Linked DNA regions of Bombyx mori. Each later gene encodes a partner of the first gene's protein in a complex. Links are inferred from orthologs where the notes say so. Each region holds a gene or a part of one and is shown in the gene's direction. Other genes may lie near its edges. The genes, in order: U6 snRNA-associated Sm-like protein LSm2, U6 snRNA-associated Sm-like protein LSm8, U4/U6.U5 tri-snRNP-associated protein 1, small nuclear ribonucleoprotein G, U4/U6 small nuclear ribonucleoprotein Prp31, U4/U6 small nuclear ribonucleoprotein Prp3 and ubiquitin carboxyl-terminal hydrolase 39.

Evidence for each region.
Region 2: U6 snRNA-associated Sm-like protein LSm2 (region 1) and U6 snRNA-associated Sm-like protein LSm8 share a complex: the UniProt entries of both Homo sapiens proteins name them as parts of the precatalytic spliceosome. The link is inferred for Bombyx mori from reciprocal best matches to the Homo sapiens genes LSM2 and LSM8.
Region 3: U6 snRNA-associated Sm-like protein LSm2 (region 1) and U4/U6.U5 tri-snRNP-associated protein 1 share a complex: the UniProt entries of both Homo sapiens proteins name them as parts of the U4/U6-U5 tri-snRNP complex. The link is inferred for Bombyx mori from reciprocal best matches to the Homo sapiens genes LSM2 and SART1.
Region 4: U6 snRNA-associated Sm-like protein LSm2 (region 1) and small nuclear ribonucleoprotein G share a complex: the UniProt entries of both Homo sapiens proteins name them as parts of the U4/U6-U5 tri-snRNP complex. The link is inferred for Bombyx mori from reciprocal best matches to the Homo sapiens genes LSM2 and SNRPG.
Region 5: U6 snRNA-associated Sm-like protein LSm2 (region 1) and U4/U6 small nuclear ribonucleoprotein Prp31 share a complex: the UniProt entries of both Homo sapiens proteins name them as parts of the U4/U6-U5 tri-snRNP complex. The link is inferred for Bombyx mori from reciprocal best matches to the Homo sapiens genes LSM2 and PRPF31.
Region 6: U6 snRNA-associated Sm-like protein LSm2 (region 1) and U4/U6 small nuclear ribonucleoprotein Prp3 share a complex: the UniProt entries of both Homo sapiens proteins name them as parts of the precatalytic spliceosome. The link is inferred for Bombyx mori from reciprocal best matches to the Homo sapiens genes LSM2 and PRPF3.
Region 7: U6 snRNA-associated Sm-like protein LSm2 (region 1) and ubiquitin carboxyl-terminal hydrolase 39 share a complex: the UniProt entries of both Homo sapiens proteins name them as parts of the U4/U6-U5 tri-snRNP complex. The link is inferred for Bombyx mori from reciprocal best matches to the Homo sapiens genes LSM2 and USP39.

What each region holds. Positions count from the first base shown.
Region 1 is NC_085129.1:20,029,633-20,032,608, reverse strand, and holds U6 snRNA-associated Sm-like protein LSm2, read left to right. Parts: upstream 1-1,726; 5' UTR 1,727-1,799; coding exon 1,800-2,087; 3' UTR 2,088-2,167; downstream 2,168-2,976. Other genes in the region: protein suppressor of forked, read right to left, coding at 869-898. UniProt on the Homo sapiens protein: Plays a role in pre-mRNA splicing as component of the U4/U6-U5 tri-snRNP complex that is involved in spliceosome assembly, and as component of the precatalytic spliceosome (spliceosome B complex).
Region 2 is NC_085112.1:10,370,503-10,373,599, forward strand, and holds U6 snRNA-associated Sm-like protein LSm8, read left to right. Parts: upstream 1-1,664; 5' UTR 1,665-1,773; coding exon 1,774-2,064; 3' UTR 2,065-2,092; downstream 2,093-3,097. UniProt on the Homo sapiens protein: Plays a role in pre-mRNA splicing as component of the U4/U6-U5 tri-snRNP complex that is involved in spliceosome assembly, and as component of the precatalytic spliceosome (spliceosome B complex).
Region 3 is NC_085118.1:17,268,539-17,271,889, forward strand, and holds part of U4/U6.U5 tri-snRNP-associated protein 1, read left to right. Parts: intron 1-119; coding exon 120-271; intron 272-803; coding exon 804-936; intron 937-1,127; coding exon 1,128-1,233; intron 1,234-1,368; coding exon 1,369-1,500; intron 1,501-1,760; coding exon 1,761-1,874; intron 1,875-1,957; coding exon 1,958-2,158; intron 2,159-2,263; coding exon 2,264-2,383; intron 2,384-2,455; coding exon 2,456-2,543; intron 2,544-2,856; coding exon 2,857-2,987; intron 2,988-3,201; coding exon 3,202-3,342; intron 3,343-3,351. UniProt on the Homo sapiens protein: Plays a role in mRNA splicing as a component of the U4/U6-U5 tri-snRNP, one of the building blocks of the spliceosome. May also bind to DNA.
Region 4 is NC_085133.1:8,590,777-8,595,611, reverse strand, and holds the start of small nuclear ribonucleoprotein G, read left to right. Parts: upstream 1-1,769; 5' UTR 1,770-1,917; intron 1,918-2,191; exon of another isoform or gene 2,192-2,575; coding exon of another isoform or gene 2,576-4,734; intron 4,735-4,821; coding exon of another isoform or gene 4,822-4,835. Other genes in the region: uncharacterized protein LOC134201547, read right to left, coding at 2,576-4,734, 4,822-4,835. UniProt on the Homo sapiens protein: Plays a role in pre-mRNA splicing as a core component of the spliceosomal U1, U2, U4 and U5 small nuclear ribonucleoproteins (snRNPs), the building blocks of the spliceosome.
Region 5 is NC_085116.1:12,783,939-12,788,737, reverse strand, and holds the start of U4/U6 small nuclear ribonucleoprotein Prp31, read left to right. Parts: upstream 1-1,459; 5' UTR 1,460-1,582; exon of another isoform or gene 1,583-1,802; 5' UTR 1,803-1,814; coding exon 1,815-2,009; intron 2,010-2,082; coding exon 2,083-2,218; intron 2,219-2,393; coding exon 2,394-2,598; intron 2,599-2,932; coding exon 2,933-3,075; intron 3,076-3,901; coding exon 3,902-4,086; intron 4,087-4,799. UniProt on the Homo sapiens protein: Involved in pre-mRNA splicing as component of the spliceosome. Required for the assembly of the U4/U5/U6 tri-snRNP complex, one of the building blocks of the spliceosome.
Region 6 is NC_085130.1:18,552,521-18,556,834, forward strand, and holds part of U4/U6 small nuclear ribonucleoprotein Prp3, read left to right. Parts: intron 1-2,169; exon of another isoform or gene 2,170-2,226; intron 2,227-2,929; coding exon 2,930-3,119; intron 3,120-4,137; coding exon 4,138-4,221; intron 4,222-4,314. UniProt on the Homo sapiens protein: Plays a role in pre-mRNA splicing as component of the U4/U6-U5 tri-snRNP complex that is involved in spliceosome assembly, and as component of the precatalytic spliceosome (spliceosome B complex).
Region 7 is NC_085121.1:4,080,624-4,085,569, forward strand, and holds the start of ubiquitin carboxyl-terminal hydrolase 39, read left to right. Parts: upstream 1-1,862; 5' UTR 1,863-1,984; coding exon 1,985-2,045; intron 2,046-2,125; coding exon 2,126-2,274; intron 2,275-2,510; coding exon 2,511-2,625; intron 2,626-3,371; coding exon 3,372-3,547; intron 3,548-3,770; coding exon 3,771-3,996; intron 3,997-4,159; coding exon 4,160-4,283; intron 4,284-4,382; coding exon 4,383-4,542; intron 4,543-4,726; coding exon 4,727-4,917; intron 4,918-4,946.

The sequences.
Region 1 (2,976 bases):
CCATAATGAAATAAAAATCACTACAATACAATATAATACAATATATGTTTCATGAGATCAAGCTGTTGTACTTTTTATACATACATACAAACTTTTTATAAATAGTCTTAATTACATCTAAGAAGTTTACAGTTATAAAGTGTAATGAAGCTTCAGTGGGGTATCTAACTCATTATAATTTTTTTTTTATTGCTTAGGTGGGTGGACGAGCTCACAGTCCACCTGGTGTTAAGTTATTACTGGAGCCCATAGATATCTACAACGTTAATGCGCCACCCACTTTGAGACATAAGTTCTTAGGTCTCAAGTATAGTTACAGCGGCTGCCCCACCTTTCAAACCGAAACGCATTACTGCTTCACGGCAGAAATAAGCAGGGTGGTGGTAGCTACCCGCGCGGACTCTCAAGAGGTCCTACCACCAGTAAGAGGCTAAACAGCTAATTGGCGTTTTTAAAATATGGATTAGAGTAATTATATAGGATCTAGGTACTACAATTTGGTTTTTTCTTGAGAAATTGTAATGATCTTAGCAGACAGCTGGTTCCAGTGTAATCGCTTGTAATGTTGGTTTAGTGGTTGATTATTAGTTTACGTTACTACAGGTCGAAGTCAATGTTACTTAATGGCTTCCGGTTTTGGAGCGCAGTCACAACTCTCTCGTGTTTTCGGTATCTATAAAACTAAGGATCCTCTTTTTTTTTTCTAAATGACTATCTTGTTTAGAACTACACAACAATCGATTGCTAATACATGCACTTATATAAACGAATTACACAACATTCAGGAATATCAAATCAAAAAAGAAAACCTTTGTTCTTTTAGTTTTTAATTATATTCAATTAATGCGACTAATGCGTAAAAACTCACAATGTCGGCGATTTCATCTACAGATGCCATTTTGAAGTTTACGTTTGAGGTTATCTATCTGGTTTTAAGTCCGAGCAACAGTTTTTCGAAGAACTAAGTAAATGAGGTACTGATTGTTTGTGGACACATTACTCTCAGTGTTAAAATCGATTTAAAACAATAAAAAAACACAATTTTCTTTAAAAAATTAAACAACTCAACCAAGCTCAAACGGGATTAGCGGACGCTATAGATTATACATTTCGCTTTAAGGAATTTTATGACCTGGTAATTAAGATCTTTAAGTCATGTCTTATTTTAATTAATATTCTTATTTTTATGAAAAATGTTACAATTATGTAGTGAAATGACATGAAATGAAGATGATTAATTTTAGATATTAATCAACTGCGATGAAATTAAATTAAATTAGATGAGATGAGATGATATGAGATGACATATTCTCAGTAAAATGGTGGTCATTGACTGAGATTTTTTCAGTGGACTTTTTGGAGGATCTCGAGAAGCTATGTCCAGCGGCTTTATTTCATTTACCCACATTTGTACACTTTCACAGATATTAAACAGTCAATAAACCACCATTATCACATTAAATTAGATTACATTATTACATTTAAGCCTGAAGAAACACTAAATAGACAAAATAAAATAAATCACACAGCTTCACTCCTTACGTTCCCGCCAAAAAGTCCCGATTTGTTTTAAAAATTTAAGCACAGGTAACGAAAACGTAGTAAATGCAAGACATTGGAAATGAGATGGTGCTCCTGCACAAAACTAACAAAATTACGGAAAATACCGATTCACACCGCTACAAAAAGCTATTGGCATTGACATTTTATGATTTTGACTTTGAGTTTTAAATGACATTAATTGAAGAACCCAAGCCAAATTACTGTTTCAGCGCGTTTTCAAACAAACAAAACGAAAAATGTTGTTTTACTCGTTTTTCAAATCGTTAGTCGGTAAGGATGTAGTCGTCGAGCTGAAAAATGACCTCAGCATATGTGGGACGTTGCATTCTGTGGATCAATATCTCAATATAAAGCTTTCGGATATAAGCGTGATTGACTCTGAAAAGTATCCTCATATGTTATCAGTGAAAAATTGTTTTATAAGAGGCTCCGTGGTTCGATACGTACAACTGCCGGCTGATGAGGTAGACACCCAGCTTCTCCAGGATGCCGCTAGAAAGGAGGCGACCGTTTCAACAAGATAGAACTTAACCTAACCTACAACTTCAATTTAAAGTGTACATATTAATATAAGCTTAAGTTTCTTAATAAATCATTCTTATAATATAGTGTTTTAGTAGCGGTCTCCGGATATTCATTTCAGAAAAGAAAGTTTCCTTTGATCGAAAAATAACCTAGTTCTTCAGTTTTATGTAAGTTTTATACCAGAGTATGAAAGAATAATTTATCAATAAAAAACATCTATATTTTTACCATTCTCAAAAATGTATCACAGAAAAAAGTTTTTATTACCTTTCACATCAAACTATACTGATAATTATTAGACATAGCTGCATTCCTTAATACTTAAGCCTTTTTTCAAACCAGAATTGATTTAGATCTCTAGTGTACATAATTTGGATGTAAATATTTACAAAGCTGTTATTTTGGATTTTTAAGATATACTTTTTCTGAAGATGGCCATGTCATAGTTTTCCATAGGCAGAAGGGATTGTAAAAGCATCATTAAAATATGTTGCTTGCCAAACACTGAACCTTCCTGAAACCTGAACCTTTTAAACCTTCTCTGGACTTCACGAATAATTCAAGACCAAATTTAGCCAGATCGGTCTAGCCGTTCTCGAATTTTAGCGAGACTAATGAACAGCAATTCATTTATATATATATAACTAGATAGATTACAGAAATATATAGATAGAAACATAATTTTAAAACTACATTTGTTGTAAGTTTCCGTTACATATTGAAATTTTGTTAGTGAAAATATGATAAATGAACACCTTTCTAATCTATGTACAATATTTTTTTAAAGTACCGTACCTATGTACCGTACATTATTTTCATTATTTCAATATAGACTACATCGCATTACTCCTGGACTTCTATGCTAAATTTTTTTTTGTGGGCGAATTC
Region 2 (3,097 bases), on another chromosome or scaffold:
TATTAGTACTACCGGTAAAAAATAAAAATAGGGAATATTAAAACTAAACCTATAACCCGACACCATTTTACTTTGTGAAAGCGTGCTACATCAATTCTGAATACTGACATACGAATAATACATAAATACAATAGCGATGTAGTTTCTCTGCTGAAACGGTGACTAACATCTAAACATTAGTACCTAATTATCAATGTCGTAACTCGACACTTGCCATATATTCATACTATTAATAGTAAGTATTGCGAAAAATAAGTTATTGCTTGTGTCTTGTGACTTGTTGTCCACAATATTGTAGAGAAGCATTACTCGGTAATATGTTGCACAGTGTATCACAGCGGTCGGGGAACTTTTTTAATTATTACCCCAAAATATATTTTTTTAAGTTGGTTGGTTGGGTAATTACCCCATGGCGAAGAACAAAAAAAATATGAAATCGCTTCTTTTTAGTATCTTTCATATTATAGCCCCGATGATAATTTTCAAAAGAAAAAACTAAAAATTTAATTTAAGCATCATTTATTCAATTTATCAATGTAATACATAGTAATACATAACGGTAATAATAGTAATATCTGTAATATACAGTTGAGGAAAAAAAATCACCCCCACAGAGAATATAAGTAATTGATAATTTCTTGTTATTTTATAATTCACACGATGCCTACAATAAAATACCTGGGTCAATCACGTGAACTTTGTGTTTCCAAATAATGTGTTCTATCTCATTCTCTCGCCGGCTGAATCCTATATATTTATGTGTTTGTGTCTCTATGGACTTATTTTTCGTTTCGTTTAATTTCGTTTCATCGAATTTGAAATCACAACGATTCTAAAGAAGCTTCACTTCAATATATACTTTTTACTCACAAAAGTTTCATTTTTACGCCCCAAAATTTCATTTTAGGTAATTTACCCCGGTTCCCTGGCTGCTGGTGTATCATAATAATTTGTGAATATATGATCCGTCAGATCTTTTCTACCCAATTTACACGCTTTATATTAACTTCACTTGTATGTATGTTTGCAACTGACTCCTTTAGACGCGATTTTGACCCACTTTAAACGGCCAGAATTCATTCAAACTTTGTAGATTTATCGAGGACCGATAAAAAAATACTAATTTGATAAGATTATTCCATTATTCAATTTATAAAATAAGATTTTGGTCAATTTATATAATTTTTATCTATACTCGATAAGGCAGGAATTGATGTTAATGTACTTAATAGTTTTAAAAATACGCTTTTAAAGAAAATTTAAAATACATAATAGTTTAAAAAACTAAAAAAGACACTTTATATAAAATTCAACTAAAAAATTAAAATAAATTTTAATAAATTTAAATTGAAAATAGTGTAAAATATATTTTATTTAAAAAAAAGAGTGGGGTGCTTTTTAAGATATTATTGAAATAATAATTCTTCTACTCATATCTGTCAGAAAAATATTTATAACTAATAACACCATGCACCCCATGCTTTTTTTACAATAAAATATATTTTACACTATATTCAATTTAAATTTATTAAAATTTATTTTCTATTTTTTTAGTTGAATTTTAGATAAAGCGTGTTTTTTATTTTTTTAAACTATTATTTATTATGTAGTAATCATGTAGGTAGTAATAGTAATTGTAGTAGCTATTATACTAATCTGTGTAGGTACACATTTCAAATAATAATCTGTGGCAGCTCCCTGAAATTTGAAAATTTCTTATAGTTGTTTGATGTTGATTATTACTAATTTGAATTTATAAATAAAATAATTAGAATGGCTTCTGGACTCGAAAATTACGTGAATCAAACAGTGTCGGTAATAACTTCGGATGGACGTAATTTTATTGGCACCCTTAAGGGCTTTGACCAAACAATAAATATTATTTTAGACGAATCTCACGAAAGAGTGTTTTCCTCCACAAGTGGCGTCGCTCAAGTAGTACTTGGACTTCACATAATCAGAGGAGACAATGTGGCAATAGTCGGGCAAATAGACGAGTCAATTGATAGCAGATTAGACCTCGGAAACATCAAGGCAGAACCACTTGGACCAATGGTACATTAGAACTAGTTAATAAATGTTTTGTTATCAATCGGTGTTTCATTTGGGCAAATAAATATCATATTTTGTATTCGTCTCTTGTCTTGATTTACTAATTCGCAAAGCAGAATACATATTTTCACCCATAAAAATTAATCTTAGCCCTGGCTTGGGTTTTCCATTCTCTGAATAGGATTTGTGATAGCATGCCCTGTAATACCTGTTAGAATAGACAACACCCTGGATATATGTTCATTTCTTTGAACATAATCCTTAGGAAGTTACTTATGATGCCTATTGTAAACTACCAAATTAAGGGTTATATGTTTTACTCTTTCACAAAATACACATGAAGGTTCAAATACATTAAATCCCTGTATAATATATTCACAGGAATCAAAAATATTCATAGGTACTAAAAGAACCTTATTTCTCATTTGCTAATGGGTCTCATCACAATCAGCTCAGTTAGCCTGTTACCAACACAATTTTTTTAATGTGTTTGTGCTCTAGTAACTGGCATATAAATAACCGTTTTAGAATAAGCATAATAGCATTTCTTTTAATCGGCAAAGCCAAATAAACAAGAAAAAGATGCTTGAATTTTTTATTTTAATCGTGTCACAAAAAATGTTTTAGCATTGGTAATTATTTCATTGGAAAAATCACATTCCATTGATTAAATAAAAAGGAGCAAGCCTCATTAATTACATAATTAAGAGAACAAATTCCGTAAAAACGGATACATATTCCTTTCAGTCTGTTTTAGGAAACTTCAAAATTATGCACACTACTCATATTCTGAATACCCAGAGGTCATTCATTTATTCATCTATTGTAAGTTTGTCAAATTACATGTATGCTTGTTTTTACCAGTTTGTTGTTACATAATATATATGTTTAATTATAATTCAATTGTTATTTGTTTATCTACTTACTGAACAAAAAAGTTCCCAAATTAAAATGTTGCATAGTGCTACAAACAAAATTAGAAAGAACCTTATTCCACTACACACTATAATATTACCTACCTAATTATATTGCACAAGTTTATTAA
Region 3 (3,351 bases), on another chromosome or scaffold:
AATCATACACAATTTGATGGGTAACATAAGTATTATTATAATTATAATTCCACTGGGTAGGTTTGTTAGCTTATCTATCTTGAAATTACATTACGAACTATTTTTATTACTTTTTATAGGGACAAGAGTGTTGAGTATGAACGTGAGAAAACCAAGTCTCCAGTACAAACACAGAGTGGTGGAGCACAAGAGAGCTTGTCCATTGAAGAGACCAATCGTCTACGAGCTAAACTTGGACTTAAACCACTTGAAGTCAATGAGAAACCTGCTGGTTTGTAATGTAGTTTTATCGCTTTTGTAATGTTTTTTTTTTATTGTGTTAATATATTGTATTTTATTTAATGTACAGACTATATCACGCATAACGAATTTGATGTGTTATCTTTGCCAACAATAAATAAACAAAATAAAATTCAAATTTTTTGCCATTTTATATGTTTTTAGTCATTATTTTACACAAATTGTTCAGGTTAATATTTTCATAAGATAAATTTAATAGGTATATTATAGCAAAATTACCCACTGCTTACAAACTTTTAAATAGATTGATCTGTATCTGTCTATGTAGTGGAATTAATTACAAGTGTCAAGCCCCAACAAATAAATAATTTCACTTAGGAACTTTAAATTCTTTTTTATTGCGTTGATAAATTAACGTATTATATTAAAGTCATTAACAAATCAACATCAAGGTACATATAGCTTTTATTAATATTGTGTTCACAGTTGTCTTCCGACCGCGATCACTAACTAAAACTTGCTGTTTAAGTGTGAGTTCTACTATGGTTTTAATCCATTCACAGATGATGGTAAATTCAAAGATGACCTTGGCGAGTTCTACCATAAGCCGGCTACTAATATCACTGAACAGAAGAAAACAGAAAAACTCAAAGAGAAAATAAAAGAGCGAAAGGAGAAGAGGAATATTGAAGAGAAGTATGAAATACTATATTTTTGTTCCATTGATTGGCTTGAATTTTTTGATATTATTGTAATAAACGATAAAATATTACATTATATTGAGGAATAAGTACTGTTTGAATAAATGATCATCATAATAAGAACCAAATGAAATAAACTGGAAATTAATAAAAAAAAATTGTAATATAATGCATAATTTCATTTAGATTACAGACTACCCTACTCGGTGAAGGGTCTGACGATGATGACGCGTCGGCCTGGGTGAAGCGCTCCAGAGCAATAGAGACGCAGAAGAAAGAAGCTGCAAAAAGGGTGAGCATACAATAAATGCATTTTTTAGCTGCTGAGAACAAAAATCAAAAATCAATAGTTTTATCAGTTTAGATCCATGACCTAAACACCACAGAGACAACATAAGATATTAATGTGAAGCATGTGTGTACGCAGGCGGCCATGCTGGACGAGATGGACGCGGCGTTCGGCGTGTCCGCCCTGCTGCCCCCCCGCGCGCCCCCCGCGCCCGCCCCCTACCGCGCGCCCAGCCTGCGGGGGCTGCGGGTCGCGCACCAGCTCGATGCGGTACTCACACCTTCCCACCCCCCATATATTAATGGGAATACCAGCAGGCTATTTGATTTTGTGGTCATCCAAAAAATTTAATAAAATGCGAAATAATTTAGTTCTGTACTAATCACAGGTTGGTTTAAACTTTGAGCATTTCAATCACGCGTTGATTATTTTCGTTTCACGATTTCTAATCTCGTGGCGACCACACGTGTTAGTTCTAAATACTACATGAAACAAAAAAATCTGTATTAATAGATCTATAATCTGTACAGTTGGAAGATGAACGTGAAACCATTCTAACGTTGGCTGATAAAGAAATATTAGCTGAAGACCCAGAGGATGTGCTCATCAATGTCAATATTGTTGACAACGAGCGATACAAGAAGGTAAGATAACTGTTTTTACTATTTTACTTACATACATCAGTCAGTGAAAGACCATAATAAATGATATAATGGGTTTTGTTCAGAACGTGGAAGAACGCAAGAAGGCGCGCGCCGGCTACCAGGCTTACGACGAGGAGGCCGAGCTGCAGGCCTCCCTCGGCTTCCGACGCTCCGTCCTCTCCAAGTACGACGAGCAGATCCAGCCCGACCAACTCGATAAGGACAAGGGCTTCGTCATAGGGGACGAAGCCTCTCTCGACGCTCACAGGCGCAGAGAGCTCTTGGTGAGGCCCGCGTCACGTCGCATCACGCCGCGTCACGCCACGCAGCGTCACGTCACGCCGCGTCACGTCACGTGGCGGTGCGTTAACGTAACTGTGTATGTGCAGCTCGCGCAAGGCCCCGCCTCTCGCCGCATGGAGTCGCTTGCGCTGCCGCAGCCGCAGCTCGCAGCCGACTACATGGACCAGCACGAGATCCAAGCCAAGTTCAAGAAGACTAAGAGAAAGGTCAGTGGCCCCGCTCGTCGAGCGTCGCGCCGGCGCGGGCGGACCCGTGTGTACGTGTGTGTTTGTGTGCAGGGCAAGATGCGGACCAAGCCCAAGGACGAGCCCATCGACGCGGACACCTACGACGCCGCCGCCGCGCCACTCGACACCGACGACACAGGTCTGACGCGTCCTCCAGTCTTATATATATGTAGTAGTTTAATCTCACGTTTGCATGATCATCATATTATTTCAGCCCCGTTTCGAATAGTTTGTCGCCGCTGTGTCGGCGCGCCCTGCTCGTCCGCATTTAATGAATTATTAAAGTTCTTATAAAAACTCGATACATAACATACATATTTTTTTATAATTTACATAATTCTGATTATTTCAAACTTTACAACAATCCTGTTCCTTATCGACCTAAAAATGTAAGTAAAAGCGGGCTGTGCCCTAAAAACTAGTTATCAATCGACCTGTCGTCCCCTCCGCAGACGTGCGGGCGGGGGCCGCGGCGCTGGTGGTGGACGAGGAGGAGACGGAGCCCGACACCGAGCTGCACGCCGCGCTGGCCAGGGCGCGCCGCCTCAGGCTCAAGGAGGTGCAAGATGCCGCTGTGCCTAAGGTATCTTATATATTTCATAGATTCAAAGGTTCACTGGTAATAATATAATCGCATTTGAATGTCATTAAAAAAAATATTTATTAGATAAACAACTGTCGATAGTAAAATGTTTGCCGTGAAGGGTCACCTGCTACACCCGCCTGACTCTATTTTTTGTTGTACTGAGTGCCTGATGTCGTAAATAGGTTTAGTTCTAAAACTTGGTTCGGTTCAGGTGGAAGAACTCCTGGAGCGCGTGAAGGAGGAGCAGGTGGAGGCGGGGCCGGAGGGCATGCTGTTCGACGCCACCGCAGAGTTCTGCCGGACCCTCGGGGAAGCCCCGGCGTACTTCGCCAAGCAGAACCCGCACTCGCCGGTGAGTGCT
Region 4 (4,835 bases), on another chromosome or scaffold:
ACACCATAATATGATGAAACCCAGTATTCGAAAGAGGCATCTTTAAATTATTCGCATACTACTTTTTGCTTATGGCAATATAAAATTTCTATCACAGACTATTGAGCACTCCACGACTCCACGAGAATAACTCTGACATTAAATTTAAAATTTATTATTTCAGTTTTCTAATGCATATTACTGAATTTCTTACAATTTTTGATTTTAATTATATACAATTTTATTTAAGCCAGCTATAATTTGGTTTAATCTATATGAACATATCTCCCATAATTACTTTTCTTCTGGCAGTGGGAGGTGAGGTGACACTCAAACCTTAAATTAAATGGGCATATAGACGTTCAATTATAAATTAAAAACATAGTTACGTGCATACACTTTATGCGAATAAAATTCAAGATGATTGACCATTAAATTCAGTGATGAATTTGTTTTATTAGGTAAATTATCTTTTCTTTTTTAATTTAATTTCTAAACGAAATTTGACTTCAAGTTGCCAACTTACAATATTTATGTTTTTGTTAGTATAAAAATAAAGGTTTGCATATTACGAAATAAATATGAGTTTTCACCACCATTGAAGTAGCTTCTTGCAGTGCATTATTAATAAAATAGAAGCACAGATATAAATATTTTTATTAAGTTTTATTAAATATTAATTGGCAAAAAATTACTTAAATTCGTTTAATGGATCGATGTTTTTCGATTTTAAATCGATGACATTCGTACGATGCTTAAATACATTAAAATGTATGATATACTGTATAGACGTATATTAACAGTCTTTTTGTAAAACTTTTTACTTTATCTGTTGGTTCGGTCTTGTTTTTACTTTACGGAGTTTTTAATATTTTTTATAATTCGGTTTTGGCAAGCGGTTAGCGGTTAGGCATGCCTAATAGCTTAAGCTTATAAATGATGGTATACATTAATACAACCACAGTGATTCATATTTTTTTGGATTGTTATACCATAAACTGCGTTTATTTGTGATCTAGGACTGTATAAAGTAGCACGGACGGATGGAAGTAAAACATTTTGAACAAAGGGGTAACCTAGATACTCTAAGAGTCGGTGCACGAAAGCGTTTGTTAAATTTATGAATTCAGAACCCACCAACTAGAGCAGCAACCAGATAGACCCTGAGTTCACAATCATTAGAATTCTGTACAGTGCTAGAATAGATTTATTTATGTATTTTCCCTAGCAGCCAGTAATTGCCTTATTTTTGTTTTTTTCTATTGGCTACTGCCAGAAGTTACGTTGGAAGGCTTGATGAGTTTATCTTTACAAACGCAACCATTGTGATCATCTATAATATTATATTTTCAGACATTTTTGCCAAAGACCATCAAACACCCCAACAATCTAGCACCCCACTAGATGCTTCTTTTTCTATTTGTTCTGAGTGTCCTTTTAAGCTTCTGTTTTTATGTTTCGTATGAATGATGCATTATGATATTCTTATGCAAATTCATAAAATTTCATAAAACGTGATATTTTGTATTTAAAAATCTAAATTATAATGTATCCTCCCATGGTACGCTGCCATGGATATACTACTAGCCCAAGAAAGATTCATGTCAGACAGACGGCCGATCGTAAAACTCATGCTAAAATCTCTTTCAGCAAGTTATGAGGACCATATTACTACCATAAATAACGTAGATTTATTATGGCCGGGAAAAAGTAGCTCGATCAAAGCTGTCAAGTTTCTGACAAGGCTTAAGAAGAACTCTGCAATAGGCAGTAGCTTGACCGTACGTACCTCTGATATTGTTGATGTCCAAGATCTATAATTTCCAAAATTATAATCGTAATATCGCCGTGTCAAAGGTTCTTATTTAATTTTGGAAGTGGCAGCACTGTCTCAGACGGTAGAATATAGTAGAAAAGTTAAATTCATTGACAAAATTCCAAAGAGTATATAATCACTACGTTATAAGAGTCCGCACTTCATAGTAAACGTTACAAAATGAAAATGTATGGGATCAGATCCGATCTGGTGACAACATTAAAACAACCACAGACTACAAAAATCCTACCACTGTCAAAAATAGTGATGGGCATTAATATCGATGTCCAATAAATAATGATGCGAATATTATCGATATTTTTGTCGATATCGAATGCAGGCAAGGATTGCATATTGAAATAAAAACTTTATTATTTTAAAAGAAATAAAACAATGTTTTATTACTTAGTATAATTTTAATGAAATTTGTAAGTAGAATTTTAACGCTTACAAAAAATTTTAAGTTTGTATCGGAAATGTTTAATTTTTATTTTACAATATAAACCAATATTTACTTAATTTTATGCAAGGTACAATAAGTATACATGTAGAGGTTTTCAACCTTGTTTTATAATGTTATAACGAACTAGGTTTTGAAAATTTTTGTGCTAAATAAAAAACAATTCGTTTCTATTTCCATTTGAAGAGTAAATTTTTAAAAACTTCTATTTTATAATAGTAAAAAAATAAAGTTCTAAATCTCTAAATGTATACTTTTTTTGAACTCAAACCCGAAGTTAACTTCTTTCTACAAAAAACAAATAAAAACTAATTATGTAATTATCTTGAAACACCATATTGTTGACCCCTTTTGTTCGCGTCCGCCAAATCCTCTTCCTTTGAAACTTGCTTTAAATTAATTATCTGGCACTGTCGCCGAATCAGCATTAGAGCCAATTTTGTAAACAATAAGTCTGACATTTGTTGACGATGATTAATGCATAGCCACTCTGTATTACAATTTGAATAAAATATAGTAATTGTCCACTGGCAAATATTGTTATTATGTAGGTTAGGGATACAAAACTGTTCAAAATTTGTAACCGCAGTGTGTACAGTTTGACACAACTGCAATGATGGATATGTCAAACATTTCTTATCTTGCCACCACTCCCTTAATTTAATTAAATCATAAATCTTATTTTCCTCTGGATCTGCAACTGTCAAAGTTTCTCTACAGACCTGGCAATCATTTTTTTTTAGAATAACAGAAGCTAGATATCCACTTATATAGACCACTGGTTGATTTGAAATTTTTGCTAGGTCACATACTATTTCTTTATATTCTTCTTCTTCAGGTATACTGAGAACCGGGTTGTCTTCCTCATTTTCATTTTCTGTGGAAACATGACTAGGAGACTCATTAATATCTTGACCTTGATCATCTTCGTCTTTAAACCCAAAAACTAAATCATGAAAATCCGTCATGAGTTCCTTTTTGTCTTCTTCACAATTGGAGTTTTTGCTGTGAGGGGCGGTAAGTCCTGATATTATAGAGGTTTTCATAGCTGCTATAAATGTAGAACACGTCGGATGCTTGTTTGTTTGACCATGCTGTCTTATTAACCCAAATAAATTTTCTAATGCATCCTGGTTTAACTGCCGTAGATTCAAATACTTATATCCTAAATCCTGAACTTCCAGCCAAATATCACGCAGCGATTTTAATGATATAATGTAGCCTTGAACACACTTTACATTTTTTGCTTCCACGCCATTATGGTTGAAAAATGTTAAAGTAGACAGTTGCTTTCTATATTCTGTCCAAACAGCTAAATGGTCAGTTTTAGCAGATACGTTTTCCCGTATACCTTTTTTTACGTCAGCATGTCCTGATGGCCCATTTGTATAATCAAAAAGTTTATTGAATTTTTCAATTAACAAAGCAGTCTGTAATATTTCATCTGATCGGTGTACATTTTCCACATTCGTAGCTAATAATTTAAGAACAGCAGCCACTGTTTGGCTAAATATTTGTGCGGCATACTTAACTTTCATTTTAGCTCTGTACTTTGGTTGTACATGAGTTGATTTGAGTTTGCTAAGATATAAAAAATTTCTATTTCGTTCCTCTACCTCAACTAAATGGCTCCATTGACCTTTCAATTCTCCCATTTTCAGAAATCCTTGTTTTAAAAAGTTATTTCTCAGTGATTTTAATAAATGTGGAATATCATAAATTATATAAATTTTTTTATTTTCAAATTCAAAATAATTATGTCCACCATTGTTCCACTCCTTTAACAGACTTAATGCTCCCATATTGGTGGGCGCTTGATCACATATTGTTGATAAAACTTGAAATCCCGAGTTAGTAATTTCTTTAATTATATCTTTTATTAAAACTGCTAATTTTTCTGAAGATACTGTGCCTCTTATGAAATAGAATGCCAGCGGTTGTTTAATTTTTCTCCCAATACCTTGTAACATGAAGACTAAGGCATGATTTGCTAGCTCATCTTTCCTCTCATATCCATAATCGATAAACCCTTCCACTTTATCTGTGGCTTCGCTATAAGTTAACCTTTCTTTTAACGCTATTTCATCAAAGACTAGCGAACATAATTTTGCTCTTATTTTTTTAATGGGAGCTAGTTTTTTCAGGTGGTCAAGTACAGCTGTATTTAAACCTGGCTCAACAGGTATTTTTTTCATTAATTTTTGCAATGTTTTGATACTCGGAAATGGTGCGAGATATCGCAGATATCGGTAAGCTTTTGGTGAACGCTTGAAGATGGCTAATGCTGATATTTTATTTTTAATAGTCCAGCGTTTGCCTTGTGACTTACGCTTTTGATTTATCAACGCAGACGTGACAATTTCTTTTAGAAACTCTGACGATAAATTGTCTATTAGTTTCGCGCTCTTTTTTAATGATGCCAATGTGCACTTTGTTTTTCTCAATTCACTTAAGAGCTTCCTTTTCCGTGGTGTAACATCTAAAACAAAAAAATTACATTAATACTTATTGACCAATCGTTAAAAGTGGTGCTATAAGTAGATGGAGTTAATAATACAAAACTCACCAACATCTTCTAAT
Region 5 (4,799 bases), on another chromosome or scaffold:
TTAAGATGTGTCTATTTGTCACTGTAAAAGATTGATATCTTTGAATATACTAAAAAATTGAATAGGAAGGTGTTCACTTAACTTTATTTAAATATTAGGCGTCTACACACCACCAACAAAAAGCCCAATTCCAGCCGAAAAATTCAAGATGTGACGAACTGACGAAAAGGGGCTTGAAAATTTATTCTGCTTGTTGACAGTTATGACATATTTTTTTTTAATGATTCTGAATGTAGTGTCTAAGAGGTATAAGATCATACAACACTACTATTTTCTACTAAAGCTGAGCTGTTTCCACTATTATGGATTAAAAGTATTAAAATCTAATGCTCTGACGTACTTTTTAGGAAAATCCTGTAATATATTTTTCAATTGTTATTAGAAAATAAGTCAAACTTGATCCACGTAATTCTTCAGATTAAAAGTACATTTCTTCTTCTTCGTCGCTTCCTCATTACTGTGGATCATGAGTCGTGACCACCTTGGTCTAATTGCACTAGTTTCCTACAATGCTGCCTGCATTTGGCCTGCTGAATGGCACCCGGAACGCTGGTGTTTGTGGCTTCCTTGGCAATGTCCGTCCATCTGGTTGGCAATCTTCCTCGAGCTCTCTTTCCTTCCACGTGACCTACAATTATTATTTTTTCCAATTTGTCAAGATTTCGTCAGGTCACGTGTCCGAAGTACTTGAGGAGATGCTGCATACAGATCGTAGATAGACAGGTCTTGACGTTTAGCTCCGAGAGAATTGATACATTTGTTCGGCGCTCCGTCCATGATACGACCAACATTTTGCGCCAACATCACATTTCAAATGCGTCAATTTTCAATCGGATACGGGCCTTGAGGGTCCACGTCTCAGAAGCGTACGAGAGTATGGAGAAGATAAGGGTTCTCATGAGCTTTATCTTAGTTTTTTGTTTATGTTGCGATTTCTCCAAATCTTCATAAATTTGATTCAATTCTTAAAAAAAAAACCAAGACTATTTCATTACAGCTTTCAGTATTTTTTAAATTGTAAAAAACAATCAAAAGTCACCGTCCTGTGAGACCTTTTGGCGGGAACGCGAAGAGCGAAGTTGTGTGAATTGTTTTAATTTGTCTATTTAGTATTTCTTTAGGTTTAAATGTGTAATAACGGTGGTTAATTATGAACTATTTAGTATTTATGAATATGCACAAATGTGGGAAAATGAAATAAAACTGCTGGGCGCAGCTTCTCGGGATCTACTGAAAAGTTCACTGAAAAGTCTTAATAAATATCTAACCACTATTTTACTGAGATTATATTTTATCCCATATCATCTCATCTTATTTCATTTAATTTCATCTCTATTAATGAATATCTCCAGTTAATCAACTTAAATTCATTTAGCTTCATATCATTTCCATGAAAGAGAATCTATAATTTATGAATAAACATATCGTATGATACCTTCGTCTTTATACTTGGAAAAATGGAATTACTACATACTAGGTAGGTACGGTACTACTTACTACTGTCAAGTACCGTACTGTCACTGTCATTTCTGTTTACTTTTCAAATTAACTATTGCAAATATTAGTCGCCGTAGGTACATAGGTAGGTAAATCATTTAGTTTTGGGTACAAACTATTGAAGTTTAATGACATCGCTGACTAAAAAATCAAATTAATATCTATAATGTATACTAAATGAAATATACTGTATAGCTGTGAAAGTCGATTTGAGTAAAAAACTGTAATAATTGTAGAATATTACAGAATACAATAGAAACAGAACAAGCTCACACATAAACTTAACACTCAGAAAATCAATTTAGTTCTACAGAAGCATGTCTCTAGCTGACGAATTACTTGCTGATTTAGAAGAAAATGACGATGGTGAACTCGAAGCTGCTATCGAGAGCAAAACCAAAGAAGAATACGACTTTGCAGTTCCATATCCCGTCTTACCTAAAGAAGAAGAAATCAAGAATGTCTCGATAAGAGAACTCGCGAAACTAAGATATTCTGATCGTCTGAAACGTGTATGTATTTAATAAAGTTTCTTGAAGAACAGTTTAAATATAAATTACAATTTTTCATGTAAACAACTTTTAGGTTATGAGTGAAATAGAATGTAATGCTGGAAATAACAGAAATAAGGTTGAAGTTGCTGGCTTAATGGAGTCTGACCCTGAGTATCAACTGATTGTGGAAGCAAATAATGTTGCTGTTGAAATTGATGGTGAAATAGGTATGCATTCCAATCTCCATTTTTCATGTGTTGATTTGTTTATTAAAACAGTTTCAGAGAATTGAACTTTTATGATTGAACGTAGTGTTAATAGTTCTCTTTTCATGAAATTATTATCTTGGTTGTCTAATTATTACTGCTTACAATATTAAAGTCAAGAAATGCAAATTTTCAGCTATTATTCACAGATTTGTCCGTGACAAATATCAGAAACGGTTTCCTGAATTGGAATCTCTAATCATCACTCCATTGGAATACATAAGGACAGTGAAAGAACTTGGCAATGATTTGGACAGGGCTAAGAATAATGAAATATTACAGAGTTTTCTTACTCAGGCCACTATTATGATTGTTTCTGTTACTGCATCTACAACTCAAGGGTTAGCTTCTTATTTGTTTTCTATTTGTGGTCTATTTTGTTTGCTAATATAAATCAATGCACTCACTCTGAGAAACATCGTGCCACATGTCATTGCAACGCGAGAGCATTGGTATCGCAGAATTCGACTGATACATGACCACAACCACTCTGTTAAGACTGTACGACTAGGAAGAAGAAAGAATAAATGTAAATAAAAATGTAGAAATGCAACATTTCAAATTCATTTAAATTATTATAGTGGACTAGAGTACAAAACAGGGACTTTGAAGATTTATTTTGATGAACATTTTGTGTAAAATAGTTACTTATTAAACAACTCAATCATTTGACAGGAAATTACTAAGCCAAATTGAACTAGAAGAAATCAATGAGGCCTGTGATATGGCAAGTGAGCTGAACAATTTCAAATCGCAAATATATGAGTATGTTGAAAGTAGAATGACTTTTATTGCACCAAACATAACTGCCATTGTTGGTAAGTGATACATTCTGTTGCCTATAATTACTAATATAAATTCTATTTAACACTCCCAAAACGATTAGTGGTAACAATTGTGCAATCACCCTTAGCCAACTGCAATTATTCCCCTCATCATATAATTTCCAAAATAGCAGAGTATTAGAAGGACCAAATGCCTCTTTCTGCATTTTTTGAGCCTGGCAGATTGTAAGTGCATCAGAACTCTAAATTGTAACCCTTTTAAAATAACATTTGCTTGGCAAAGTAGAGAAACGATCTGTTGTTAGAACGAGATGTTTTTTCTGTAGCAATTTATTCCCTTTTTACAATGCTCAGGAGGTCTGACCTGTCTGGTAGTTTGCACTCTGTTCTTGTCCATCATTGGATGGCCTTATTTATACTAAAACTATATCCAAAAATTTGTTGAGAGTGCTCGGGTTCTACGTTTAACAAGCCACCCTCCAATGGTCTAGACATTAAAATAATTTAACTAATCCCCCTCGCGACAAAATATTTAACCATATTGATATATTGGTAGTTGTTAATCAACTACAATAGAATATTTCTTAAATGAATGTGAGCATATTAAATGAATACTTTTTCTAATTGAAGGGTATGTGTGAATGAGTTCAGAATTATCCTGGTGATAAGTGGTTATCGAAGCCCATAGTAAGCACAATGGCACCACAAGCTCTTAGTTATATTTTATAACCCATCACACCATCCAAGCCAGAACTTAACTGCTTCATGGCACAAATATCCAAAGACAATGAAAACTACCCATGCGGGCTTACAATATGTTGTACCACCTGCGAATTTCTATCAAAACTATGTATTTCAGGAGCATCAACAGCAGCAAAAATCCTTGGTGTGGCCGGTGGATTGTCTAAATTATCAAAGATGCCAGCGTGTAATGTGTTACCTCTCGGGCAACAGAAGAAGACACTGTCAGGCTTCTCGCAAGCAACAGCTCTACCTCATACTGGGTTCATTTATTTTTCACAAATTGTACAAGATACAACACCTGTGAGTAATTTGAATATGATGATAATATAATATGAAAACATATTTTTTTAAGTATGACAATGGTATATTGAAGTTTTTGGTACCGAAATGTATTTTAGCCGTTTTACTCAGACTTAAACATTTTCTACTCCTGCAGTATTTCAGTTGAATTCTTAAAGATGTGATCACTATAAGCGAATAAGGTTTTTGAAACAGCCATGTTTCTGGCTACAACTCTATTATATTGAAAGTGCATAGGGAGCGTATTTAAAGAGTTTAGCCAATTCAATTTTACTAAACTGAAGAAATGAAAGAAAATGTTTGTGATCATGAATTTTCTTCTAATACACCGTCCGTCTTGGACTAGAGTGCATCTCTGATAACGGGAATCACTATGTTCACATGCAGTATATCATGATGAAAGAACAGGTTGCAGATGCTAAGGATCATAATATTGATCGATATCGTCAGCACAGGCGTCTTGGTATACATATGGTGCAGGGTGCAGGCGTAGGGGTGTTAGGGGACGCCGGCTTCGGCACTTTCAATGAACCTGTTACATTTGCAGTGATTCCATTTTGACCACGCCTTTACGAGGGTAATTATTGCACTGGGATGCTACATGGGCCAGAGATGCCTTTGATCTTTAAATAAATAATTGCATATTGCTTTTGATGTCCACCGAAAAAACGAGTGTTCAAATGAAAATAATTTGTCATAGATTTATTAATGAC
Region 6 (4,314 bases), on another chromosome or scaffold:
TGCCTTGCAACGGATATACGCATTGCTCTCTCTAAAAGAGAGTCCTTGGTCGGGGTTTTTCTTGACATTGCATCCGCATACGATAATGTCCTTCTTCCTGTACTCAGGCAAAAAATGCTCCAGCTGAGTATCCCAGAGAAGATGGTTAACTTCATATCTAATCTATTTTCATCTAGAGCCATTTTAATTTCTTGCCAAAATTCTTTACTTCCTCCTAGACTTCTATGGAAGGGCCTCCCTCAGGGATCAGTTTTAAGCCCTCTATTATACAACTTGTATACCTACGACCTAGAACTTTCGGTAAATTCATTCTGCAACGTACTACAATATGCGGATGATTTGGCTCTATACGTCTCAGTCAGGGACTTAGGGGATGCCTCTGCTCGCCTCAACTCCGCTATTAACTATCTCCATGACTGGTTAGGTAATCATGGTCTATCCCTTTCAGTTGAGAAGAGCAGTGTAGTGACATTTTCTCGCATGCGATCTATTCCCGACGTCATTGTCTCGTTTGATGGCAAAATATTCCCAGTGCGAAACTCAGTAAAATTTCTCGGAGTCGTTCTTGACTCGCGTATGACTGGTGTCCAACACATTAACCACATCATCAAAAAGTGCGAAAAGAACATCCATATTCTTCGCTCCCTGTCAGGCGTATGGTGGGGATCACACCCCTACACTCAAAAACTGTTATATAACGCCTTGATTCGCAGCCATTTTGATTATGGCACTCACATTCTAGAACCTTGCAATAAGTCTGCCTTAACCTCCTTGGACAGGATCCAATCAAAGTGCCTACGTATCATAATCGGAGCAATGAAGTCTTCCCCCATTAACGCCCTTCAGGTTGAATGTGCAGAACCCCCCTTGCACTTGAGGAGACAATACTTATCGGACAGATTCATTTACAAAAATTTTCAGCTTTCTAACCACCCCCTTATTTCAAAGTTACATACTCTTTCGGAACACATCTATTTCAACAGTTACTGGAATCATAAGTCCCACCCATGCCTCTTCACCAGTTTTGTTAAGTTTATCAGCCTCCCCTGTCCCGTCTATCAATGTAGGTTAAATCCATTATTCCTCACACCTTATAATGCAATTCTATACCGTCCGGACATTGTTCTAAATATCGGAATAAATAAAGATGACCCCGGTGCAAACGCCAAATTTAACTCTGTCGTCAATAGTAAATGGAACGGTTGGCATACTATGTTCACTGACGCATCAAAAATAAAAGCTGACGGCTGTGTAGGCTTCGCTGTCTGGATACCGGAGTACAAAATCATTTTAAACTTTAAGTGTCCCCCTCAAGCCTCGGTTTTTACAGGAGAGGCGCTAGCTATCCTTGAAGCCCTGATGTATATAGAATCACATAAGCTACACAACACGGTGATATTCACCGACTCTAGAAGCTGTCTACAGGCAATCCTTGCAAACCAACTCAGATCCAAGTCAAAACTCCCTTTTGTTCTGAAAATTAAAGAAATTCTTTTTCGGTGTCACGTGTCTGGCATAAAAATCACCCTAGCTTGGATCCCGGGACATAGCGGTATAGTGGGTAATGAGGGTGCTGATCAGTGTTCTAAGGATGCCACGACAATAGGTAGTGATATTCATTACACAACCTATGCACAAGATCTAACGTCTCTAGCCAAGGCCGATCTCATATCGCGCTGGAATGAAGCGTGGAACCTTTCGAAGCGCATTAAAGGCAAACATTACGCGGATGTTCAAGACTCGTTGCTCGTTCGGCCTTGGTTTTTTAAATACAGGAAAGCCAACAAGAGAGTCACGTCCACAATATGTAGGTTAAGATTAGGTCATGCTTGTACCCCGGTTCACCTAGCTAAAATAAGGGTCAAGGATAGCTCCCTATGTGAGTGTGGGCTCGACGAGGGATCAGCAGAACACATTTTCTTTAACTGCCCTAGAAGACCTTCCCTTTACGAAGTTCTACCGGACATTATCCCCAGACCGACGAATTTCAAATCTTTGTTGAGCCTTGTACATACAACTTTTGTAAATATTTTATGTGAATATGTTCACCAGAATAACATTAGACTATAAGTTGTTTGTCCTTACTAATCTTCTGACAATCTTTTCTGTAACATATATATATATATGTATGTATATGTATATATACATATATTGTTTGTCCTGTTTTAGGTTAGTAATTCAACAGTTGATTACTTTGTAAAATAATAATAATTAAAATTGATGTGACCTTGTGCAATCACGAAGCCCACCCAACAAAAAAGAATCCAAACTTCACCAAAAGACATCAGCTGAGCATAATCAAAACCACAGACTATAAAACTTGACTTTGGCGAAATCAAAAAGGACCGCCATTACAAAAGAAAATGTAAATGTAATGCCAGAAGTCTGCAGCTATGTTCGTAATCTACTGTGCGAACAAGAAAGAAGTCGTCGTGGCCTAGAGGATAAGACGTCCGGCGCATTCGTCTCTTGCGATGCAACGGCGTTCGAATCCCGTATACTAATTAATTTACCTAATGAAATACGTACTCAACAAATGTTCACGATTTACTTCCACAGTGAAGGAATAACATTGTGTAATAAAAATCGAACCAGTAAAATTTTAATTTGCGTAATTACTGGTGGTAGGACCTCTATTGAGTCCACACTCGTAGGTACCACCACCCTGCTTACTTCAGCCGTAAAGCAGTAATGCGTTTCGGTTTGAAAGATGGGGCAGCCGTTGTAACTATACTGAGACCTTAGAACTCATATCTGAAAGTGGGTGGCGGTATTTACGTTTTAGATGTCTATGGGCTCCGGTAACCACTTAACACCATCAGGTGGGCCGTATGCTCATCTGCCTGCTCGGGCAATGAAAACAAAAACACAGAAATTTTGTGTCAAGACCAAATGACAGTCTATGTAAATTAGATTTTATCCGTTCCAGTTAATGATGGCCAACGCTCAGAAAGAGATAGAGGAACGCAAGAGAGCTCTTCAAGTGCTGAAGGGGGTTGAGACCAAACCGAGTGTTAATGCTGCGGTGGCTGCGGCCCAACACCTGAAAGTGCAGATGCAGCAGAACAATGCAATACCCCCACCGAGTGTAATCAAACCTGTACTGTATTCAAAACCTGGTAAGTCTCAGTTTACACCTCAAGCACCGGTCCGGACTCCGACATGCCCCGCCCTCCATCACCAGTGGAGAGCGGAAGTCCGGCGATGTCCTCCTGACCAAAAAAAAGCTTTTTTTTTTGCTTAAATGGGTGGACGAGCTCACAGCCCACCTGGTGTTAAGTGGTTACTGGAGCCCATATACATCTACAACGTAAATGCGCCACCCACCTTGAGATATAAGTTCTAAGTTCTCAGTATAGTTACAACGGCTGCCCCGCCCTTCAAACCGAAACGCATTACTGCTTCACGGCAGAAATAGGCAGGGTGGTGGTACCTACCCGCGCGGACACACAAGAGGTCCTACCACCAGTAAAAAGTTCTGTATTACACGTATTTATTTATTTATTTGGGAAACAAACTGTACAATACAAACATATAATATTTAAAAAAAAATAGCTAAAACAATAATCAAATATGTTTCCACAATCAAAATCACATATAAATGTAGAAAGTGAACAGAGAAGAGAAATATAGAAATTTCAGAGTTACAAAAAAACAAAAGGAACACAATACCCACATATTATTTTGTACATCAACTTACACTATAAGACTATAATATATTATACATATAATTTTGACGTGACAACGTCTTATATTTCGATGGATGCACGCACGAAAAAACATGACTCATGCGGCGTTACCTCGCTCTGAGGCGTTCCATTTAAGGCTTGAAGTGCAAGCGAGAGCGCGCAACGAGCGACAAAGAGGCACAATCGGCCTCCGCGTTCGGCAGCGTTCGACATCTGTCTCTCTCCTACTTGAGTGAGCGATGCATCCGCGTGGACAGCTGCTATACAATAATACATTTACATGTTTTCGTCAAGTATGAAGTTCAGTGAAAAGTGAATGTGGTGTCAATTGTTTATAGCAACGATAATTATTGAAAAATGAAACCATTCCATCAGTATTTTCTTATGACGTTGTCACGTTCAACTATCGTCAGTAAACCGACTTTACAGACAATCGTTTTTTTTACAGAAACTTTGCCGTTATCACGCGAAGAATTGGAGAAGCAAAGGAAGATAGCTGAGCTGCAAGCGAGGATACAGCGGAAACTTGCAGGTATTTGCACCTCACCGATCATTAATACTGTCAGGGTGTTGTGAACTATCATATAGTCATCTGTACCTTGTTACCTTCCTCATAGATAACACA
Region 7 (4,946 bases), on another chromosome or scaffold:
GTATCCGCACTGGCGGTAAAAAAATCGCGCGGGAAAAAAATCTGTGACTTGATGCAAATAGAACGCGAAGCGGTGCGATTTATTTTCGCGCAAACATTTTATACCGTATAAAGTAAGGGCCTGTCCGCACAGCGATATTTCACCGCGAGGTTTTTATTCGCGCGTATTAAATTCCGCGATCGACATTACACCTAGTACGCACTGCGAATAAAATTTTGTACTATTTTCGTCAGTTTATTTAAGTTCTCGGCTGAGACGCACGTGTAAAATGGACAACCGAACAAAAATTTTAATTTATCTAATGCTAAGATGGCGTAACAAACGTATCAAAATATTTCATGAGAATTGGATTCACCCACTTACGGCATTGAGACCCATGAAAGTTTTTTCTACATAAAATATCAAGAGTGCGAAAATACAGCAAAAAGTTTTTTGGCTATTACAGAATGACAAAAATATCATTCGATAATTTACTACAACTACTTTACTACATCTTTTCAATAGCGAGGTTGTAGGACTATGAGCGAAATGCGCGAATTTTATTCCACAGTGCGAACATAGCCATACTTACTCTACACGATACAAAATATTCGCGCGGAAATAAATCGCACCGCTTCGCGTTCAATTTGCATCAAGTCACAGATTTTTTTCCCGCGCGATTTCGTTCCCGCCAGTGCGGATACTTCTATAATATTAAATGTGTTACAGAATTACGAGAAAAAAATCGCGCGGTGAAATATCGCTGTGCGGACAAGGCCTAAATATTACCAAAAATTGCCAAGTTACTCTATAATTACAATATTGGCAAAATAATAACTTTTTGGCGGAAATTCGAGGAGCGAAGCTTTCAAATATTAATCTATGAGCGTAGCAGTGTCAATTGTTTTATTTAATTTATGTAGTGTCTTTTCAGATTAAAATGCGTAATAATGGTGGTTAATTGACTGTATAATACCTTTGAAAGTGCACAAATGTATGAATATGCAACAAAGCCGTTAAATGTAGCTTCTCGGGATCTTTTTAAAAGTCCATTGAAAAAGTCTCAGAAAATAATTCCCATTTTACTGAGACTATATTTCATCTCATCTCATTACGTTTCATTTCATGCCAATTGATTATTGTTCCAAATTAATCAACTTCATTTCATTTCATATAATCATTTATCATAAGCAAAAAAATATGAAAGATTAGGCTGTATGGTATCATACTTTTGCCTTTCCAGTTCGAAAATAGAACACATACTCCTACTAAAATATTTTTTAATGGATTTTATGACACGGTAACTAAGATCTTTAGGTCAACTCTTAATAAAATTTATATTCTTATTTTTATGAAAAATGATAATATGAAGTGAAATGAGATGAGATGATATGGTATAAAATATAATCTCACTATGATAGTGGTCATTTACTGATACTTTTTAGTGAACTTTTTGGAGGATGGATAAGGTCTCAAGTATAGTTACAATGGCTGTCCCACCCTTCAAACCGAAACGCATTACTGCTTCACGGCACAAATAGGCAGGGTGGTGGTACCTACCCACGCGGATTCACAAGAGGTCCTTCCACCAGTAATTACGCAAATTATAATTTTGCGGGTTTGATTTTTATTACACGATGTTATGCCTTCACCGTGGAAGTCAATCGTTAACATTTGTTATGTATTTCAATAGAAAAATTGGTACCCACCTGAGATTCGAACATCGGTGCATTGCTCAACACGAATGCACCGGACGTCTTATCCTTTAGGCCACGACGACTTCATATTTCATACTATATTATCTCATTTCATTTCATACCACTTCGTATTACCATTTTTCATAAAAATAAGAATATAAATTTAATTAAGACCTGACCTAAAGGTCTTAGTTACCGTATCATAAAATCCCATAAAAAGTTCATTTAACGATTAATATTTACATTTTACATTTAGATTTCAGATTCTTCATTTAACTACATTGTCTAAAGTCTATGATAGTAATAAAATGACTGAAGAACAATCTAGAAAACGCAAAATAACTGATGAAAATGGGACTGACAAACAAGGTACTTGATAATGCAATTCTAACCTTCTATGATTCTGCACTCTACTGCTATTTGTAATCAAAGTATTATTATATTTTCAGGACGATATTCGAAAACTCAACAAATTCAATGTCCTTACCTGGATACTATCAATCGGCATGTTTTAGATTTTGACTTTGAGAAATTGTGCTCGGTTTCATTGACTAGAATCAATGTTTACGCTTGCTTAGTGTGCGGTAAATATTTTCAGGTAACAAAATATTTATGCAATTGTCATGGCTTTGGTGATTAGAGGCTTGAACTTTTTTTTACAGGCAAGTTACTTGTTTTCATGATGACGATTTTTATGAGCGCCAGTGTTGTTCCTGGCATTTCATTCCAGTTCTTTGCTGTAGTGATATGTAAGATAGGTTATTTATGTTGACTTAGGCATAAATTTGAATTAATCACTTGCGAAAAAATCATTAAAATCTATCTACTTTCCAGGGAAGAGGCACCAACACTCATGCCTACACACATTCAGTGGCTGATGGACACCATGTATTTTTGAATCTTAACACATTAAAGTTCTATTGTCTTCCTGACAATTATGAAGTTATTGGTAAATTACATATTTTTAACTTGGTTAGCTAAAATAGCTTTTATGTTAGATATAAATTAATTATAAATAAAATAATAATAAGATATAAATGAATTCGGTCAATTGATGATTTTGTGCATTGAAAATATTTATAAAATATTATGATTAAGAATTGGTGCATTTTACAGTTGTTAACACATGCGATAACTTAAAATAAATTGTTAGACTTTATTTTTGTAAGTAAATTAATAATAAGGAAAATTTGACTGATTTTTAAAATTTTATACACCAAAATGGAATCAAGTAAAATACTTTTAAGCTTAAATTTAGGTATCAATGACTAGAAGTACAGTAAAGCTTTAAAACTTGTAATAGTCTAATGGACAAGACACCCAGTGCATTTGTATTGGGCAGTGCAACTGTGGTGGTGTTTGAATTCTGTTGGCAGGTACCAATTTTTTTAATATGTATTTAACACTTCGTTGGTGAAGGAATGTATCAAATCCATCTTGTGATTATAATAAACTTGCATAAATTATAATTTGTTCTAAGGGTGACTTAAGAGCTTGCATTTGTAAGTACCACCACTCTGCCTATTTCTGCCGTGAAGCAATAATGTGCATTGGTGAAGGGGACAGCTACTGTTGTACTGTAAAACTGAGACTTAGAACTCCTGTTATAGGGATGCGGGTAATCACATAGCATCAGATGAGCCGGGAGCTAATCTACCTATCACAGTCATAAAAAAAGACAATTTCACATTTTAGACTCTTCATTGAATGACATCAAATATGTTTTGAACCCAACATTCACACCTGAACAGATCAAGCTTATAGATACTAACACAAAGATGTCACGAGCCATTGATGGCACAATGTATATGCCTGGCATTGTAGGCCTTAATAATATCAAGGCCAATGATTACTGTAATGTAATTTTGCAGGTCAGTATATGTTTTTATTAAATACATTTTATGATATGTACTGTTTTTATTGTATGATAAATGCGACTTATATTTTTGTTGCCGGCGATCTGTGAAAGTAGATGCGTTACAGTCAAACTGATTCTGTTTTAACCATTATGTATATTTGTAGTGAATAATTACACAGTGCTACAAAGTCTTAATATTGTCACAGTTTTATACTAAATTCATTTTATGATTTTAGTGTTTGTCACAAGTACGTCCCCTACGTAACTACTTTTTGAGAGAAGAGAACTATGCTAGTGTAAAAAGACCACCAGGGGACTCGTCTTTTTTACTTGTACAAAGATTTGGTGAATTATTACGCAAACTATGGAACCCCCGTGCTTTTAAAGCACATGTATCTCCTCACGAGATGTTGCAGGCTGTTGTGCTGTGGTCTAAGAAGCGATATCAGTTTATTAAGCAGAGTAAGATTTTAGTAGTTTTTTGGATATACGAACATGCTTTCTTAGTGTAATTTCTGTATATTATGCTAAAAAGTATGAATATTGATTGATCAGTTTTATATTTTAATTATATATTGTTTTATAATAATAATAAAAATTTATAAATAAATAAATTTTTGCTCAGGTGATCCAATAGACTTTCTGTCTTGGTTTCTAAATTCATTACACATGGCACTGAATGGTACAAAGAAGCCAAATAGCTCCATAATTTATAAGTCATTTCTGGGTCACATGAGGATCTATACAAGGTAAGATTTAAGCATCTGATTTTTTAAAGTTCAAAATAATTAACATTTAATCTATCATTATATGCAGTCAAAAATTTCTGAACAGACTGAAATTTTCAGAAAGTTGCCACCGCCGGATGCTGATGATGCAGCTAAAGTCGATCTTAGCAGTGAAGAGTACAATGAAATGATCACTGAGTCTCCATTTTTGTACCTCACATGTGATTTGCCTCCAACGCCATTGTTCACTGATGAGTTCCGCGAAAATATTATTCCACAGGTGAAAATACCTAGTATTGTTGCAATTTAAAAATTGTATTCACTAACTTTTTTATTTTTTTATTAAGACTGGTTTTTTTATATCAATTCACATCCACTTAAATAGGATTTAAAACAAAAAACTTAACATAAAAACTATTTGAAACTTCTGCTTGAATATTTTTAACATTCTTGTGATATTACAGGTAAATCTTTACCAGCTGTTGTCAAAATTCAATGGTCAAACATCAAAAGAATACAAGACTTATAAAGAGAACTTTTTGAAAAGATTTGAAATAACACAGCTGCCTCCTTATCTAATTCTTTACATAAAAAGGTTTACGAAAAATACTTTTTTCGTTGAAAAGAATCCTACAGTTGTAAACTTTCCTGTCAAGTGAGTCATTATTGTTCAGATCTTATTTG